Drosophila melanogaster: one gene and its partners. Changing the gene in region 2 together with the main gene of any one other region gives a genetic interaction. Each region holds a gene or a part of one and is shown on either strand. Other genes may lie near its edges. The genes, in order: csw, Usp47 and Dcp-1.

The links.
Region 1: of Usp47 (region 2) and csw, changing one enhances a phenotype caused by changing the other (phenotypic enhancement), as found in Drosophila melanogaster (one study listed by BioGRID).
Region 3: of Usp47 (region 2) and Dcp-1, changing one suppresses a phenotype caused by changing the other (phenotypic suppression), as found in Drosophila melanogaster (one study listed by BioGRID).

The regions. Positions count from the first base shown.
Region 1 is NC_004354.4:2,098,585-2,105,320, forward strand, and holds the start of csw (corkscrew), read left to right. Parts: upstream 1-3,704; 5' UTR 3,705-4,562; coding exon 4,563-5,191; intron 5,192-6,736. UniProt on the Drosophila melanogaster protein: Required in all receptor tyrosine kinase signaling pathways. Functions downstream of the receptor tyrosine kinase torso, acting in concert with D-Raf via tailless.
Region 2 is NT_037436.4:5,749,274-5,756,009, forward strand, and holds the start of Usp47 (ubiquitin specific protease 47), read left to right. Parts: upstream 1-3,699; 5' UTR 3,700-3,961; intron 3,962-4,904; exon of another isoform or gene 4,905-4,993; intron 4,994-6,280; exon of another isoform or gene 6,281-6,352; intron 6,353-6,736. Other genes in the region: DnaJ-1 (DnaJ-like-1), read right to left, coding at 1,316-2,320. UniProt on the Drosophila melanogaster protein: Ubiquitin-specific protease that deubiquitinates target proteins to regulate different cellular and developmental pathways. Functions downstream of Dsor1/MEK to positively regulate the Ras/MAPK signaling pathway.
Region 3 is NT_033778.4:23,547,862-23,554,597, forward strand, and holds Dcp-1 (death caspase-1), read left to right. Parts: upstream 1-3,451; 5' UTR 3,452-3,861; coding exon 3,862-4,013; intron 4,014-4,439; coding exon 4,440-5,002; intron 5,003-5,062; coding exon 5,063-5,319; 3' UTR 5,320-5,686; downstream 5,687-6,736. Other genes in the region: levy, read left to right, coding at 429-525, 677-909; pita, read right to left, coding at 1,230-2,030, 2,087-3,175, 6,394-6,555. UniProt on the Drosophila melanogaster protein: Involved in the activation cascade of caspases responsible for apoptosis execution. Proteolytically cleaves poly(ADP-ribose) polymerase (PARP). Loss of zygotic DCP-1 function causes larval lethality and melanotic tumors.

The DNA of each region.
Region 1 (6,736 bases), on a different chromosome or scaffold from region 2:
TGCACATATGTACGCTTTAAATTGGATTGTGCAAAACACGCACATGTACTCATCCATATGCACGTATTTGGCTGCAGGTACTTGGCCGCCTGTTCGCCCCCACTTGCCGCCACTCTAACACCAATGCTCGGTGCCCTCGATCGTGCCATCCGTCACATACTCCACAAGCTGTAGATGCGTCGACCGCGTGGAATTGCACCCACTGCATCGCCATGGCCTGCATGTGGAACGGATAGTCCATAGTCCCCGGTCACGCAGCATCATCGCTAGATACTCTGATCATGATTAGGTAAATTAATGGATCTAGCGCACAACTGTACCACATCAGAAGTTCCAAGTCAACTAGACCTAGACCTAGCTTGTATAATATCTGTCTAATTCTCGTTGCTGATTGTACTCTAATTGTCGACATCAAAATCAAATATTAATCGATCAACTGCATCGAAACAGACGGCTGAACTGTGCTTCCGATTCGATGATCACTATTATCAATCAAACACTGCAGTCAGTGCAATGCAATTTATGGGTAAACTTCATTATCGATTTTGGAAAATAAATCGAAATAGATTGCATAGACTGGATTGTGAGCACTGGTCATTTGCATGGCCAGCGCATCACACCTGACCCAATGATGTTATGCAAATCGCAACTACATTTTATCATTATCACTAGCAACGGCTAGTTTTTGATGTGCTTTCCCTTTGTAAATCCCACGAAGTGAATTAAATTTAAAACGCACGTATGTATGGTATGTATGTATATGTACGCCAATCGAGATGATCGCTCATTATATTTGGTATCCTAAACTGCCCAGCACACGACAATTTAAAGCTACCGGCACGAACCGCAAATGCGTCCGTCTCGCAATTAAATATTCAGGTAAATCCCTCGCCAAAACATCGCCAAAACAATGAGCCACAAAGAAAACGAGGAAAGATTCGAGTCAATAAATGGGGATGAGGGATTGATTCGACGGACCGAAAATCAAAGTTGTGGGGGGCCAGGCCAACGAACCAACGAAATATTCCAACCCAATCCAAAAGGAATACTTTTACGCCGCCACTAAGCAGCCGTGAGTCCCCTGCTATTTGCGGAGCTGGAGGTTTGATTTGCTTACAAAAAAGTGTTACATGGAAGCACTCACGTAGCATTCCATCTAATAGTATGAATTACGACACTGATCGTAAATCTCGGTATATATTTTTGGCTGGTGGAGCATGGCAAAAATCGAGCAGTATCATAAATCTCGGCCGCTATGGGGAAGCCCACCTGGCTACAACTAAAACTGGGCTCGTCTCTCTAGGCTTGGAGATTGGGAAACGCAACATGTTTGTGCAGGATGCAATAATCCTATAAAACTTTTTACACATTATTTCGGTGCTTGAGTTGGTGCCACGAATCCTGCATTGTCAGCAAACAGTATGATTTCTTGTTAACAAGCTGAGTTTTAGCTAAAAAAAAAAAAAAAAAAATGCAGCCCACGCCCACCGGCGGTGAATTTATGATTTGTAAATTATTTACAAATAATATAAGTAGTTCTCCTAATTGCCTCTTCCCGTCTATTTTTGATTTACCCCTTTCTGGGTGGGGTCGCAAAGTACTCATTTTAAAATTTACCATATAACCAAGCTCACAAATGCCCGGTATAATGGCCCATAAACTATACTCTCTGGCATTTGCCGCAAAACAGTTCTGTTGGTTTTTGGCTGATTTAGTGCGAACACGTCTGTACAGTGGTCCCCGCAGCGACCCACAATCGATTTGCGATTGCCAATTGGCTATTGGCTATCGGCTATTGGCTTTTGGCGACTGAATAACCCATTTCGAGGAGCTGTCGCCGCGCATTCGGTCCGGCACGCTTCACTTACGGATTGGGCTTTGGCTTCGGCTCCGCTGGCTGCCATCCCTGGGTCCCGAGACCAAATCTCAATCTCAATCCCAATTCGGAGTGGCGAACAATCAGTGGTCGGCACATATGTAGCTGTGTGCCTAGCATACTAACCATCCCCCGCCTCCGACTGAACAATAAATTATGTTTATTTCTGGCCCACTCCCCATCGCACCTACGAATGGTTTTGGCTGTGCCCAAATGCGGTCTGGGTCTCCAGCAACGAAATCGGGATAGCCAAGGTCGCGGAGCTCAGGAATGGAGCACTGGGGATACTGGGACTGGGCTGTCGCTCTGGCAACTGGTACCGATCAAGTTTATTTCTGGGTAGGGCGGCACTCACGGCACTCACTACTTCGCCGGAACTTTTAGTAATTCCATACGTAATGTAAACACGTTGGGTAGGCTATTGGTCAATGCCACTTCTAAATTGCGTTACCCGATCATTTCTAAGAACTTAAACTTGCGAATGGCCAATGTTGGCCTCGCTCTTAATTCTGTATCGATAGCAATCAGGTAGCTCAAATCATCTCTACTCACTTTTAATGCACTTCTCGTCTTGCATTTGCCATTGCAATGACTAATATTCTTAACCGACACCTAACTGCGCCCAGAAGCCCCATGTGGTTTCCACGGATCTGGTCCACCTGGCCTGGAACATCCTGTTTGCATTGATGCATGCATGCATAGCTACATGGGGTTTCCCCGACTGGTTTGAGCTGAGCATTTTCAATTTTGATCGAACACTTCGGAGACAATTTCCATTGAGTGGATTTTGAATGTGGTTTGGGTAACAAGTTCTAGTTGGTTTCCAGCGAAAAAACAATGACGAAATGTTGGAAAAAAAAAAAATAGTTCGTCATCGTTGGGAGGCATGAATACGAGGCTGGAAGTAAAGTGTTGCTAGATCGCAGTTCGCAGGCTGTCGCACGTCGAACGATTTTGTTTTGCTGGCCAAAAAAAAAAAAAAGATATTCTGCGCACGTTCGCACCTCTGACGTCTGCGCCTGCGCTGTAAGAGAGCTTTGGCACTGCTCGCTTCTAGCTCCCACTTACCCAACTACCAACCTGCCCACCTGCCCACCAACCCACCTGCCCCCCAGCAAACCCAGTTCCTTGCCTAGATGGCCGCCACAGTAGTTGCTGTGCGGCTTCAGTTTCATTTCCGGTGGCAGGCAACGGACGGCGCTAAAAGCGCTTTTTGTATTTGCTTTCTTACAAGCCAACAACACACTCATATCACGAAATGACCATTTTCGGATTGGAATTAATCTTATGTGCCTGCTTTTCGAAATGTGTATGATTCGGATTCTGATTGCGATGAACTCCATGACTCATCCAGGAGTACAGTCATTACGAAATAAACATAGAGTGGAGCCCGCTATACATATTTATAGGTATTAGCCTGGCTCTAGCACTTAATTGAAAGTAAATGAAAAGTAAAAGTGTAATTTTTTACAATGTTGATTGCAATTCAAAGTGCTTTCGCTTTCTGAATAAACCGTAAGTGGCGTCCACAGGATGGCTACAATTAAGTGGCGCCCGCTGAGGGGCCCAAGCAGTTTGATGATACTGAAACAGGAGCCCAGGGGAAAGCTGTGCACACACCCACTGCCAATCAATTTCAAAGTTACGTCTTTCGCTCCGTTTTATTTACTGTGTTTTTTTTTGTATTTGTTTGTGACTTCTGGCTCGCTGACAGTAAATAAAGCCCATAAATAAAAACACCCACCCACGAGATCGACAGGAAGGGCTAACCAGAGCGCCGGCTGGATTTAAAAACAAAAAGCGCCGTCCGCAGCCAGTCAAGATTCAGATTCATTCATACCCCAGCGCTTAGAACACCACCAGGCCACAGCTCCCGTCCGAGAGATATAGCCACTAAGAGAGAGCGGAAGAATCGAATCGCAAAGAGAGGAGCCGCGCTGAGACAACGTCAAGAATCCGATTTCGATTCCGATTGCGATTTCGAATCCGAGGCAAAAAGCTTCAGACTCGGCAGCAGGCGCTTCATTCTCGAGTTGTGATCCAACGGGTTAGCAGCTCAGCTCGCAAGCAGTCGCCGTTCGTCGTCGAGCGGCAAGCAGTTCGTTTCATTTCTACTGGGCGCCAGTACAAGTTCCATCGAGTGTTTTTGTTATTCGAAGGCAAAGCGCGAAAATTATGCCTTCAGCCACATTTGTCCTGGAGCATTTGATGGCGGCACAATCGCGACTCGACGAGCAGGCCGCATCCCCAGCAGAGGTCAAACCCACCAGCACCATCAACAGCAGCAGCACCACCGTGGCCAAGGCCATCAATGTCAAGTCGTACGAAAAGAAGCTGTTGCTGGCTCTCAAGAAGATTGTGCAATAATAAACGAATGCGGGGTAAACAGCACTCTATTTGACAAACTGTAGACATTTCCCCTAATCGAGCTGACTAAGATCAATAAAAAGCAAACAGAGAAGCACAACAAACAGCGGCAAAAAACAAAAACCAAGAATTCTAGTTTTTGTGCTTTCAGTGTGTGTTCGTGTGTGTGGGCAAGTTGTTACATAAAACAAAAACAATAACAAAATAAAAAAAAAATAATAAAAAAACACCCCAGCCGAGACGCATTTTTCCGCAGTGGAATACTACTATCTAAGCTTCTTTTTGTTTTGGTGTGTGCGAGAAAACGAGTGTGAAGAAAATGCTGTTCAACAAATGTCTGGAAAAGTTGTCCAGCTCGCTGGGCAATGTGGTCAATCACAAGCTGCAAGAGAAACAAGTCTACAACAACAACAATATCAACAATAACAATAACAATACGCTAAACAACAACAATGCCTACAACAATCAGCGAAACTTTGAGTACGAAAGAGCCATACAGGCGCACTACGGAAGCAAGGGAAGACGCTCGGAGGAGCGCGAAAGGAGCGGCAAGTTCAAGGCCAGCAAGGGTCGGAAAGCAAAGGTCACCCCACCAACGGAGACACCCGAGGCCCAGGAGCCGGCCTGCAAGAACTGTATGACCCACGACGAGCTGGCCCAGATCATAAAGGGCGTGGCCAAGGGCGCTGACGCGCAACGTAATCGAGACAACCGACTGCAGCGCAGACGTCGTCCTCTCTCCGCCCAACCCTCCGCCGCTGCCTCCGCCTCCACATCGACGGAATCTCTGCACCGTCTTACACCCAGCCCGCAGGCTTCCTACCCGGCCACGCCCACCTCCTGGACAGCCACACCGCCCCAGTTCCCAGCCGCCTTCGGCGGCGCCAGCTGCTCCAACAGCACACTGTCCCTCTTGGCCACCATGCGCGTCCAGCTCCATGGTTACACGTAAGTTCAGGTCGCCCAAAAAAAACGACAGCAGTCCAGTCCAGAGTGTTAGAAAAAGAGCAGCGTTCTGCTAATTTGGGGCGCGTGCGAAATTAGGCACTAATTGTTATTGGAGTGCGAGTAATGAAGTTGTCAGGCTGCCAACTAAACGATACCCCGTAGCAGGTGAAATGGTATTTTGAGCTACCATCGCATCGTAGTATGTCGCCCCGCCTGTCAGTCACATGTCGCGGAGTAGCAGATGATTCGCGGGAAATCTGGAGACAATCTGCTGCCCATCAACATTAACCCTAATAAGGCAGGCAATCACAGGCAGTTGACGCCGCAACAAAGCAAAAAAAAAAAAAAATCAGCGCAGCACATACTGTCATGTGTTCAGAATTGCCACGCAAAATGAGTAAATATTTACGCAAAGCATTCGACTCGAAAACAAGCAATCGTAAATTGACGTTCTAATATGAATGAATTTCCGACTGTCAAATGCCGAAGTGAAGTGAAGGGAGTGGAATGGCAAATGGCAGGGGGCCCAGCTCAGATCGCCACTCAAATATGGTCACATATCAACATATCAACCCCCCCCACACAATTGGCCCGTTGTCAAGTTGTGTTTCGATATTGGTTCTTTCATTTAGAGCTGAAGATTGAGTTATTGGTTAGGCACTGGCTAAATTACGCACTTGTAGAACCGGGAGAGTTCGGCGAATTGCCCACTGCAGACATCGTATCTTGGCCCACTGCCAGATCGGAATTATCTCTTCACTCGCGCCCGGAATGTTTACCCATGTCCCGCTGTTGCGCTGTCCGTCGTCCACATTCCCCAAAGATTCCATCCCACTCCGTGTCTGATCTTGGTGTTTATCTGCCCGGCTGTGCCATGTGCCGTCCGATTGTTTGTGTGGGCTGGCCCCATCTTGGCGATCTCGATTCGCACAGTACACCCAGAAAACAATCGCATATGTATCTGCTGGACTATTATTATGTCCCATAAATTATCTTTGACTTTTAGTTGAGCTCGGATTGGTAGTGCAGTCGGTTTCGGTTGTTGCTTATTTATTTATTTTGATTTTTATCGCAACGGATTCATAATCGCTGAACGTGTTGATTGGCTCGTTAACTTGATCTTTGTTTTTCTAATTTATGCTCAGCTTTTATAGGTATCCTGCTTTAGGGCGATCTTTTCGTCGTTATCCTAAAACGCACATCATGCCAAATGATCTGAAGATGATGTGCCAATAGCTTTGACAGCTTAAGCTGCGTGATTTCCGGATTTCACTTGTCACACTCACTAGGTCAACAATGGGGCACCGCCGTCCTCTGCCCTCCGCCTTGTAGAACTATTAACCTTCCGATGGTTTTTCTTCTCGCCATAAGGCTGATTAACGATTTATGAAATTACATTTCCCGTAATGGATTTCGAGCGCTGCCTTCTGTTTTGCATATTTCCGTTTATTTGTCCGTTGCACAACCGTGAGCTGTGGCTACTGATCAAATAAAAGCGTTTAATTTGTGCAAATTCATAACGTCGGCCGACTACAAGATGCTCTC
Region 2 (6,736 bases):
ATCAATAGCAAAATGCAGCAGGATTGGAAACAAATGTTGCCATTTTCGAATGGACAACAGCAGACAGCAACATTGAAATTCAATTTTTATTGTAAACCTAATTAGCAGCTGCAAACAAGAAGAACAAAAATATATTACAACAAAAACGAACATGAAATGGATGTTAATACTTTTTGAAAAAGAGAATAAAAAAAAAAAACAAATATGCAACAGTAAAGAAAGTAAAAAGAAATACACAATGATTATACAATTGCAAATGCAACTTAACACTCAACATAAGGATAGTGAAAATGTGTGACAAATGATTAAATTACGAAATCCTTTTGAAGAGAAAACAAATGAAAATAAAATGTGAAATTTAAAATAAAATTAACATGGAATTTCTTTTTATTGATTCTCTTTTTGGCTTTCGGGGATTTCAGGTTTTGGAAAAAGGATTTTAAACAACGATTTTATTTTAAATTTCATCTTTTCCACTCGACGTTTTAAACAAACGTTGCCAGTGATGCCAGATGGTTTTTGAAATGTAACACACGATCTATACACGCCAGGTGGCGTGTTGCCCTCTGGAAGTTTCCACATGTGGAGACTTTTGAATTGTTTGGCGCGCTAGTTATATATATTTAAAAATAGAAGAAATTGCCAGCAATACATGTTGTTTTGGTTTTAGCCACCACATTTTGATTGCCACCACGTGAAATCTAGCAATTTCTATAATGCTTGCAACCCACTGACCCAGAAACGACACTTGATGTGTGTATAAGTAATTTTATTGTTTATAACATAATAGAATTGGTACTAAAACGTACTATGTCCTTACGGCGTATAAATCTATAAGTGTTCTACTAACTGATGTAACCTCCCCGTGTTGGAATGCCGAAAATGTGCTTTGCTTGAAAAATGGTTAGTTACTTTAAATTTATAATACCTCATTTATTTAATATTTTGTTTTGGGATTATTATGTATAAGATGTTGAGGCACCGATTCATGTGGCGGTAAACAAAACAACTTATGGAATTTGTGTAATGCTAAATAGCTAATAATCGATCAGTCTCCAACACGAAACGGGCTACACGGGCTGCTTTATGTGTGTGTGTGTGTGTGTGTTGTTCTCTTTCCTAATCCTATCCAGCGCTTGCATCCTCGGCCAATATCTACAGCTCTTCGCTTGGCACACTCACTAGCTTAGGGCTACAATTGGTTAGGCTAAGTTGTCTTACGAGTACGTACGGTAAATTAAATATAGGCCTTAACTAAAGTGATAACAATTATATGCGTGTGTGTGTGTGTGTGTGTGGCTGGCACAGCTCTAGCCTAGTTGGGCAGCAGCTCGGACAGCTGATTCTGCAGACTGGGTGCCAGTGTGTCGGGAAACTTAATGTCGAAGGAGACGATCAGATCGCCGCGCCTCGATGGCTCCTTGGGCACCGGCAGACCCAGTCCGTTGATCCGGCGCGTTGTGGTGGGCTTGATGATCTCGTGGTTCGGATTCACCTGTATCCTGCTGCCCTGCAGCGTGGGCACACTAACCAGTGCTCCGCACAAGGCCTGCTTCAGACTGATCTGGGCTGTATACTTTAGATCGATTCCCTCGCGTTTGAACAGCGAATGCGGTTTGTCGCGAATGATGAAGACGATGTCAGCTGGCGTCTTGTTTGGCGCCGAATCACCCTCTTGGGGGAAGGTAATCTTGGTACCGGCCTTCCAGCCCGGCTTCACTGTGATCCTCAGCACCTTCTCCTCCTTGTACGGCCCATTGCTTCCGGTGGCCATGCGTGAGATTTTCATCTTCTTGATGCATCCCTTGTCCACTTCCTCCAGCGACACGAACAGATCATGCTCGATGGGCGGATCCTGCTGGCGCTTGCGACTGGGTGCCTGGGCATTAAAGGCAAACATATCGTCGCCGCCAATGTTCCAGAAGATCTCGTTGGTATTGCCGCCCTGACCGCCACTAAACATGTTATCGCCGCCGGTAAAGAACGCGCCAAACGGATCCGACGATCCAAAGAACTGGGCAAATGTGGCCCTCGGATCGCCGTGGAACTGGTAAGTGTACGCTCCCGGCTGACCGCCGCCATCTGGTCCCGGCTGTCCGCCCTTCAATCCATCCTCACCGTAATTGTCGAAGATGTCGCGCTTCTTTTTGTCCGACAGCACCTCGTACGCCTCGGCGATCTCCTTGAAGCGCTCCTCCGCCTGTGGGCTCTTGTTCTTGTCGGGATGGTATTTGAGTGCCAGTTTGCGGTAGGCCTTCTTGATCTCATCGTCGCTGGCCTTGCGCTCGAGGCCCAGAATCTTGTAGAAGTCTTTGCCCATCTCTCAGCTGAAAATATAGGGGAAACACAAACGAACGAACGCTATAGATTAGAATGAATACTGATTGCCAGCTTGCTGGGTTGGGGCGATGGAAAGTGCTAGAAGCACAGAACAGCACAGTTGTGCAACTGCCGTGTTGTCACGCGAGTGACGTATGTAGTCACCATCAACGAGAGCTCCGCTCCCGATGTGCTTCTTTCAGCAGATCAAATCGATGCGCCCACATGTGGCAATATGTCCAACGAAGCTTACCTTAAATGTAAGCGATTGTCTGGGAATCCGTAAAAGTTCAAAAATCCAAGTGGAAAAGTGCAAAATGCAATGGCAAAGTGCAATTGTTGGTATTGTTCACTGTGTATTCACACTATTTATATTTTCACGGGGCAATGTTCTTTAAATATTTATGAGTTTTGTCTCTTTCTCGCAATTGATTCAATTCAATTGTTCTTCTTCGCTTTTTTCTTTATCCACCAAATGTGGCTTGCGCACTAAAAACACACCCTACTTCAGAGTTTCTTTCTCTTCAAAATTTTGTTTAATAATGAGCGGGATTCGTGCGTCAACCTCATTTTATAGGTTCGCCCTCGTCTACGTCGAAATTTCTGGATGCTTCTCGGATTTTAGGGTTGTATCTCGAAAACGTTTGACTGCGAATGTCAATATCGATATGCTAACCGATAGCTGTCGATGTTTTAAACACAGTGCACTGTTTTTAAATCGCTCCCCATTTATATATATTTGTGCATGCTTTTGGCGGTGACTCTTCTTTATATGCTTCTTATGCTTTTACGATTATTATTAGCGCTTATTTGATTGCAAATGCCAAGGAAAGCGTGACTGTGATGGCGAAATGCGGAAAGTACTCCTTAAATCTCATATATCGCATAAAACTATCGGTTCTGGAATGTTTCGTGTAAGTCTGCGAAGATAGAGATCGATCTATTTTGAGGATACATTTGTTAATATTATAAGGGATTCTTCTACAGGGGTCAGATTGCTTAAAAACACACAGAAAAATAAACAAAATATTTCTTTGAAATATTGAAATATTTGAAATAGAAAAAACGTATTGACGAGGTAAGCATATTGTAAAAAGATAGGAAGGTGATGGAGAAAGTTGCACTTATATTGTTCAACCAAAGAGCTTATAATCAAAAGATCAATAGATATAAATATCTTTATATGATATAAAATATAATACATATAATATATTATAATATACAATGTATAAATTGCAAGTGTCAAATTGAATTCTTAGTGTAATATTCAAGCCAACGAAAAGTAACTGAAAGTTGAAATAAATAAATTTTTAAACTTTGCCAGTGTGACCGTAAGACCAAGACTTGGGCATTGCCACAGCTGCAATGCGTTTAGTATTTTACAGTCAGCGGCGGGCAGTCACACCGGAACGAGCACGTCTGGTAAAACAGCCGAACGGAACAACAAAAAACAATTGTAAAAATGACCCGTCGAGGCTCGTTTTAAGCGAATTTCTAGCGCAGTCAGGACGCAGGAGCAGCCGAGCAGGCCGGGATTAGGACCGGAGGAGCAGGATCATCGGGAGAGTAGAGCCGAAACCCACACTCACACACAAACGCAGCCGTATACCGCAGTATTTTCATACACACACACACACTTGAGGTGAGTGAGACGGAGGTACACACACATGCACACATACAGAGAGAAGAAAACAAGGCGCCCCACGAATTTTTGCAAAATATGGACGCGCCTTGCTAGGGACTAATTGCCAGCGCGAAGGACAACCATTGGGGCCACTTTTTGGGCCAAACTCCGGCCGACATATGCGTGTCACGTTCCACAGTCGAAGCCTTGACCGATCGCCCCGCCCACCGTTCACCGCCCCATCGCTGGAAGTATTGCGCAAACGAATGTGACCCTTAACCCTTGCCCCCCCCCCCCCTTCCACAAAGAATATCCTTTGGCATGGCGCCTGTTCAAAGGATGTCCCACTGCAGCAATGCAGCATTGTAGCAGCGACGGCAGACCCATAAAAATAGTCATTCATTCCCGCAAATAGAGAGCTGGCACATCGAAGAGAGCATACGGTCGACATTAATAGCACTTTCGCTGTAAACCCAAACATATCGCCTATATTCATTGAGTAATCCGTCTGGGTTCTAGGGACCCAAAAGTTCCCCCCAGTGAAATACCCACCCACTGCATTGTGCGGCGATAATCGTTATCAGTTGCAACTCGTGAGTGGTCATTGATATTCGCAAAAGGCAACTGGACAATGTTTGATTGTTATCAGACCCCTGATTGTAACCCAGTCAATAGCTTACATTACTCCCCATTATCCTGTTATTTGTTTAAAACAAGTGGCTTGGGTACTGTTGCAATCCGTGTATCTGTATTCATGTTCTTATCGCACCCCGAAGTTATAGAAGCTATATAAAAGTATTGTTTTCCTATTGAAGTGTAAGCCAGATAAGTAAACTGTTTCTCATTGTTATAGTACATCACGCCGAGAACTTAACACGTAGCTCGCTTCGCCAAAGATCGGGCGCCAGATCGGGTGGTGTATCTTCGGATCGCAATCGGAATCGGCATCGGCATCCTAAGCGGCCAGTACACGCGTGAACTATGCCGTGCGTTGACGGTGCGGTCTTCTAGTTCGGAAAGATTTCGGCACACTCAGTTCCGACACAGACGGTAAAACTCACCAAAATCCGTTGCATATATAGACCACGGATATATACACACTTATTCACACAACATTGGAAGCTCCAATTAAAGTTGTGCGACGCCTAAGAATAGAAAGCATTTCGTAATGGAGATTTTCTGTTCGAGAATGCATTATATGATCGGGAATCGAGAATCCTACAATTTCCGGCACTCAGCAGTCATATCTCAGACATCTCATGGTTTTTGTAGATCACATAGATTTCGCAGTACCGAAATAGTTCAAAAATAGCACAAATATATGCGAGCATGACTGTTGCCCCTCCCGCCGTCCCCCCATTGGATCGTGTATATGGCATAGATAACTCGCGATATCGGTTTCTGTAATACCCGACCAACACAAACATTGACCAAAAGATCATCGTCATCATGTAAATATTGAGTGGGATGGATGGGGCCAATGTGTTGAAAGTGCCTGACCATTCTGATGTATAGGATAGACGTATTCGAACAGTCTGTGCGCTTCTCTGAATTTCTCAAAAACCTTCGCATTCACAAATAGCCAGATATACGCGTATTCAAGACGCTCCCAAAGCTGTCTTATATCTTGCTCCTCCACTCGCCTGTGTGCTTTTTCCGACCGCTCCGATGTGTCGTTGTGTCGCCGCCGCCAGTTTTTATTTTTAGCAGCATGGGTTTCTTATTTTGATTTTGTGCTGGCCGACGTGTATTAGCATTTTTGGATCCCCATCTCACTCGCTCCCTTGCCGGGCAATGCGGTTTGTGTTTGGACCATCCAACATGTGTTTGAACGCCCAATTGCAGCGCATTCACATCGCACATCGTGGATGTGCATCCTCCATTCGGAGGAGACCCAAAATATCTTGGCTGACTGGCTGTCTTTTTTGTGGTTATTTCGGTGCAGAGAATTGGAAAAACATTGCAAATACCCCGGCCCCAATTGCTTGCGACACTCAATTAAATGCTGAGCAGTACGAATCACTAAAGATTATTGCCAAAATAGACATTCGAAAAGTATAATTTTAGATACAATTAATTGACAGGCGAATCGATGATATTTTTGACTGCATATTATAGAGTAGTTCAATCGCTTTTCGCCTAATATTCAGCATCTGCTTTCCTTAAATCTTTCGAATTCTACAAATGTTTCTAGAATAATTCGCAGTGTTCACGCTGATGTCCGATAAGTATTAATTTGTACATATGGATATGTCCACCGTCCACTTGCAATATGCGCACTGCCGAATTGAAGGCGCCAGATATTCGTTCGTATAATAGCCACCACTTCCGTTACAGAGTCTTGCGGGGAGCCACAAAGGAAGCCAGCTGAAACATGGAGCGACATTTGCACTGAAATTTATGCATTCGGTACGCCCGATGGTGATAGCTATGGTCATGATGATGATGATGACGTTGGTAGTCCATTGGAGGCAAATAATAATTCCCGTAGCATCCTCCGGAGGCAACTCTGATGGCCGGTTGTTTACGAAATTCCCCTGCGCGTTAGTCACGACGTCGATTTCGGGGGGCAGTCGATGCTCGATTGGGTGTACGTGCTATATGTGTATATCTATCTATATATATATATATATATGTATACGGCAACTGGTGCTGGCCCGTACAAATAAGGCGCGAAAAGCAAACCCGGAGCACGTCAATATCTGCGGCTGCGGGAGGTGGGACGGAATCTTCTTGGTTTCTGCCGCTTTATTCGCGAATGGGGTCGAAAACAAGAAGATTTCGCAGTAATTT
Region 3 (6,736 bases), on a different chromosome or scaffold from region 2:
TACAATCTGATGCACTGAATTTTATAAACAAGAGGGGAAAATAATTACGCGACACGTTGTTGTTGTGGATGGACGATTGGTAGCCGACTCCAGCCTCGATAGTCCGCACACACAGTACCTACCTATCGTCAGCGGTGGGCGCGTGAGGCGATAACTTCTCGATTAGCTAGAGCTGTGTCACGGCAGCCAGGGGAGGATACAAAGGAAAAATGTCAAATTACTTATTTACAATTTGGCATAGAATTGTTTTATTTTGTTTTTTATTTATATTAAGCCAATTAACAGCTTTGTTGTACGTAATTTAGAAATCACGGCCAACCACTATCGATATAATTTAGCGAACGAGTCACGACATTATGGATGTAGCCCATCCCTATTTACTTGTCAAAACAGCAAATTTTCATTCGGGCCAAGAATCGACTGAAAATATGTCCGCTATTCTAAACCACGCAATTCGCCGCCAATTCGGCGCTTCTGCCGCCCGGAATATGTCCGGCACCGCCGCCGTGGCCGGCGAGCACTCTGGTAAGTGACCGTCCAGCGTCCCAATTGCCAAATTCATCCCCTTTTGTAAGGTTAAGGTTATGTAATTTACCATTGGGCAAGATCGATTGGTGGAGAAGGATTCGCTCTTATAACACATCCTTTCATGCTCATCTCATCTCTCATCCTTCAGGTGGCTACAAGGTGTGGAAGCGCCTGTCCTTCTTCGTGGCCGTGCCCGCCGTGGGACTGTGCATGCTGAACGCCTACCTGAAGCACCAGGAGGAGCACGACAAGCCCCGCCAGGAGTTCGTCAAGTACGACTACCTGCGCCGCCGCGAGAAGCGCTTCCCCTGGGGTGAGGGCCAGAAGAGCCTGTTCCACAACCCCCACGTTAACGCCCTGCCCGACGGCTACGAGCACTAGGTGGCCACCGTCTCCGGTTCCCTCTGCGGGATGTATTCGTTGTTTGGTAGTGATAGACGTTAATGTAAACTGAACTTTACGCGGAAATACACAGAAAACACATATACCCAAACTCCAGTTGGCGCTTCAATAAAGATCAAATTAGAGCGAGGAGAGATCCCATAAAGACCATTTCAATGAGCGACAGCGGAATTCTGGTGAGGAGTTTATTTAAAAGGCCTTCGGTTAAAGGAAAAATTAAAAGTTACAATTAAATAGAATTTAAATTTAAGCATAAGCACGGATGCACTTTTCGCATGCAATATATTCAACTACTATCATTATTTTGCGGATCGGCGATTCTTAAGGTTGCGTTCCAGTTTGTGATGAGGCTTGCCTTCGTTCTTTCCTGTCTTCTGAGTGATTCTTTGAGCATCCCGACTGCGAGTTTGGCGCACGGATTGCTGGGCATCCTTGGGAGGATTGGTTTTACGCTGCTTTGGAGGCGGCGGCGTGAAGGATTCGTCGCTATCGTCTAGGTGGTCCTCATAGAGAGCATCGTCTTCTAAGTATTCCGTCACGAATTCTTCCTGCTTCACATTGTCCATGTCTTCAAAATCGTCAAGATGTTCCTCCTTCTCATCGACGCCGCCTTCTCCTTCGCCGTCGTCTTCGAACTCGTTCTGGTACGGCTCCATTTCCACCACATGATCGTCCTCGATGTGGCGCTGCAGGCATTTCTGCGTCAAGAAGATGTGGTCACAGAACTCGCAGGCATGGCGCTCGCTCTGCTTGTGCTGGTCCATGTGGCTCTCGACACTGTCGATATCTTCGATCTGCTTGCGACACATGGGACATTTCAGGCTGGCGGTGGCATGAATGAGCGCATGATCCAGTAGGTCGTTATAGTTGCTGTACGACACCTTGCACTCACTGCACACGAACGAGGCGTCGGAAGTCTGCGTGTGCGTGCGCAGGTGGCGCGAGAGATGATGCGACAGCATGTAGGACTTGTGGCAGTACTTGCAGGGATAGGCTCTCTTCCCGGCGTGGGCAACCAGGTGGCGGGCCAGCTTGGAAGCGGTGGAAAAGCTTCTCTCGCAATGCTGACAGGGGAAGGGAAGATTGGTGGAGTGGACTGTCTGAAAGTGGACATAATCGTTAGCCGGGGCAATCCCAAATATGCTTGTCAACCCACCTCATGACGCTCCAATCCCTGCTTGAAGGCAAACGACTTGGTGCAGACACCGCATTGGAACGGACGCTTCTTCTGATGTCGCTCGGCGTGCTTCTCCATCTCCTGGCGCGAAAGGAAGGGCTTCTCGCAGTACACGCAGATGAACTTGGGTACGTCCGTGTGGGTGCGCTCGTGGCGATGGAGCAATGCCTTCCGTGTGAAGGCTTTCGAGCAGATGGCGCACTTGAATGGCCGCTCGCCGGTGTGCACAAAGTTGTGCTTGGCCAGGTCGTACTTGGAGAAGAAGCTCTTCTCGCACAGGAGACACTGGAAGCTGCGCGAGCGAGTGTGATTCAGCCGATGGATCTCGAGCAGCTGCTGCAGCGGAAAGGAGCGTTCGCAATCGGGACAGGGGAACACATCGGTGGCCACCTTCTCGGCGTTCTTGGTCGGATCATCTTGATCGTCCAATGGCAGATCCGAGTCCAGAACCTCTGTCACTATGGCCACATTGCCACTATCATCTCGCTTGACTTTGGGTGTGGCCAGGCGCGGTTCCACCGGAGCGGCGGGTCCCTTGTTCAAGATCCTAATCGAGGACTTGTTCAGCACCTTCGGCTTGACGGGTGATGCCTTCTGGGGGATATCGGGGAACTCCTTCTCTAGCTCACTGGCCATATCCTCCAGCATGCTCTGCACATCGTCCATGGACAGCTCCTGGTTGTTATCCACCTTCAGCTCATAGGCGTGCGAACGACGTGGCACTGGAGAGGAACCGGCTACCGTCCTGGGGGTCACCATGGCGCTCTCCAGCACCTGGACGTCCTCGATGATCACCTGACTACTGGATTTGGCCATTGTGTTCAGCAGCTTTTTGGGCGTTTCGCTTGGCTCGGCTGTCTTTGCTGGCACGACCAACAACTTCTTGGAAGCCACCATCGTCATGGGCGCACGGGGCTTCTCCAGCGGCGATGGCCAGTTACCCGTGAGCGGATACTGGCGCAGGAGGGTCTCCGCCCGCTTGCACATCTGCTTGAAGCGGTAGCAGTGCTCGAAGAGGAGGCGGCACTCCAGACAGATGTGCCCCGGCATTCCGTCGCCGGCGTAGACCTGTTTTTAATGTTAGATTAGATAAATGTGTGAGTGACTAGGAAGCTACATTTATTCGGGGAAGTCCGTGCTTAAGCCAAATAATAAGGTAATATTCGTGGAACACCCCTATATGTTTTTCGCTACATAATAAATTAAACGCCATAAATGTCTCTTTCCCTTAAAATGAACAATATAATGTTAGAGTTTAAATTTAAACAAAGGCGCCGAGGACCAGAACACCCTCTACAAATTAATCGATGGCCACCAATCGATGATTAGTGCTATCGACGAGCGGCCATCGCCGCTTGGCGGCAAGTGCATACACACGACTACATGCAATCGCAGTTTGTTTTCGCCGCTCAGAGCACGCTTAACCTCCGTTAATTGATTGATTAAACACGTCCGACTGTGAGCCATAAAAGGACATTCGCTCGATCGAAAGCCGACAAAAGCTGGCTGAGAAGCGCAAAACAGCTGCGCTGCGCAAAGTTTGGCCAACGCAGAGCAATAGAAAACAGAAGCAGTGTCAGAATAAAACAAGAATCAGACCAAAAAGGGCGCAACAACTGCGGAGAGAGAAAAGGAAGGAAAGAGCAGCGCGTGAGCGAGGGAGGAGCAGGAGGGAGCGAACAAAAGGCAAGAGGAAACACAAGGAGAAACGCAAACAATCAAAACAAGAACTTAAGCAAGAAAAGGGGCGCAAGATGACCGACGAGTGCGTAACCAGAAACTACGGAGTAGGCATTCGCAGCCCAAATGGATCGGAAAATCGGGGCAGCTTTATAATGGCTGATAATACCGATGCCAAGGGCTGTACGCCGGAGTCTCTTGTTGTTGGTGGTGCAACTGCAGCGAGGTGAGTCCATGTGCCTCGCTCTCTCCCTCTCCCATCTCTCTCTTTATGTTTCTGTGTTTTGTTATCAATGCAAGTACTGGCATAACTGCTATATCCTAGTTTCAAATGCAGCATATAAAGCTCTTTTTTTTTTATTTATTCCATTTTCATTCCACAATCTATTATTTTTATATTATTTATACTGTCTATTGCCAACATTTAAAATCAATGTGTCAATCTGTCTTTATAATGTTGTTAAAATGGCTGAAGTCACAAAGTTTGAAAGCACTTGACTTTAATTCTATTGTTCTATTTAGTCTTATTCACAAATATATTTGAAAATAATTACATAAATAAATACCCAATCATCGATTATTTCGCCGATTACCTTATCTTATCATGCTGCTTCCCAAATGGCTATTATAATTCTGATTTCTTTTTCCCCAGCCCCTTGCCGGCCAACAAGTTTGTGGCTCGAATGCCCGTGGAACGATATGCAAGCGAATACAACATGAGTCACAAGCACCGCGGAGTTGCGCTGATCTTCAACCACGAATTCTTCGACATACCCTCGCTGAAGAGCCGCACCGGAACAAATGTCGATGCCCAAGAGCTGAAAAAGGCCTTTGAAAACCTGGGATTCGCGGTGTCCGTGCACAAGGACTGCAAGTTGAGGGACATCCTGAAGCACGTGGGGAAGGCCGCCGAGTTGGACCACACGGACAACGACTGCCTTGCGGTGGCCATACTCTCGCACGGGGAGCACGGCTACCTGTACGCCAAGGATACGCAGTACAAGCTGGACAACATCTGGCACTACTTCACTGCCACCTTCTGCCCCTCGCTGGCGGGCAAGCCGAAGCTGTTCTTCATCCAAGCCTGCCAGGGCGATCGCTTGGACGGAGGCATCACTCTGGAGAAGGGCGTTACCGAGACGGACGGGGAGTCCTCGACGAGCTACAAGATACCCATACACGCCGACTTTCTCTTCTCCTACTCGACCATTCCGGGTAAGGAATATGATTAGGTAACTATTTTAGTGAATTTCACTAGCAATCTCGTCCTGTTAGGCTACTTCTCCTGGCGCAACATCAACAATGGCTCCTGGTACATGCAATCGCTGATCCGCGAGCTGAACGCCAATGGCAAAAAGTACGACCTGCTCACCCTGCTTACATTCGTTAACCAGCGCGTAGCCCTAGACTTTGAGTCGAACGTGCCCGCCACACCGATGATGGATCGCCAGAAGCAAATACCGTGCCTCACCTCCATGCTGACGCGCATACTGCGCTTCGGCGACAAGCCGAACGGCAATAAGGCTGGCTAGGAAGAGATCTCCCTTCGAAGAAGAACTTTCAACAGAGGTTGTACAACCATCGCCCGCAATCATTCACGTTGGATTCCAATTCACTTCAAGTTTAGTTTTAGCTGACGCGTGCGATTATCCCGATGGATATTGAAGCACCCGACTCCCTTTCATTCATTCCCCTGCCTTTCCCATGCCCATTTCGGCCTTATCATTGACGAAATTCGTTACCCATTTACCCACTAGATGACTTCCGTATGCATAAGCGAGACCTTGCCAATAGAAAACCCACAAATTTGAGATAAGATAATACAATGAAGATTTATACATACATACATACTTTTATGTACACGCAAACATTTATATTTGATATGAATAAAAATGAATTAAAAACATAGCAAGGTATCTCCCCAATTGAACGTAGATGGGTAATTTCGATCTAAGCAACTTTGTTTGAAGACAGGAGCTGTCTGGGCCAGATTGAGTACGTTGATATGGGAAATAAAAGATAACAATGAAGACTTGGTTGGCTGAATCAGTGAAATTGTACGAAACTTTAGTGGAATTCAAATTAGCATTATTAAGAGTGATTAATTAAGATTTTTCTCACTCTAATTTTATTAATTTCCTAAATTTTATATTTATTTCCTAATTTTATAATTTAGGAAATTAATAAAATTAACCAAATGATGATTTTTGCGTAAATATAAGTATCGAAGGAACTATTAATGCATTTAAATATGATCTCGATTTGAATTTAGCGCCAAAAACAACTGACAGCTGTCAGGGCGATCAGCTGTTGACGCACTAGTGTGCGTGTGGCGCAGTACAGTTGCCCCAAATCGCAGAAATTTTCATTTTTCTTTGCACAAGAGGAAAAAGGGAAAGCCCAATGATTAGCCAACTAATTGGGCTGTAACCTGGTCGCACTTTTCAAGGACATTCGGCTGGGAAAGGGAAGCGGGGCAGTTTGGAGCGGGGAAACTTAGCCAAGACGCCTCGCAGTCGATGCGGAAACCCGCGATGCGGCTTCTTAGCCAAGTTATGCGTGGCGCTGGTTAGTGCAAGCCAGAACCCATGGATGGAGCCGCTTACCTCGATCGCCGTGATGGCCATAATCTGCAGCGGCAGATTGGCGGTTGTTTTCACCCGCGGATTCTCCTCGAAAATCGAGGCCAGCTTCTGCTCGGTCAGACAGAAGCGGCAGACCCTCTTCTCGGTCAGCATGGCCTCGCGCACCTCCAGTTTCGCGGCCATCGGCAATTGGCGGTAATTCGTTCCGGGCGGCGGTAGAAACGCGGAATTTCACTTGCAAAGTGCGTACAGATTACAAATGAGAGGAAAACAATCGCTTGGCGTCGCTTAGAGATGTGCACTATGCAGATATCGATGTTTCTGTGTGAATTTTGCTAGCGAAACTTTTTGTTTTTATTTTACA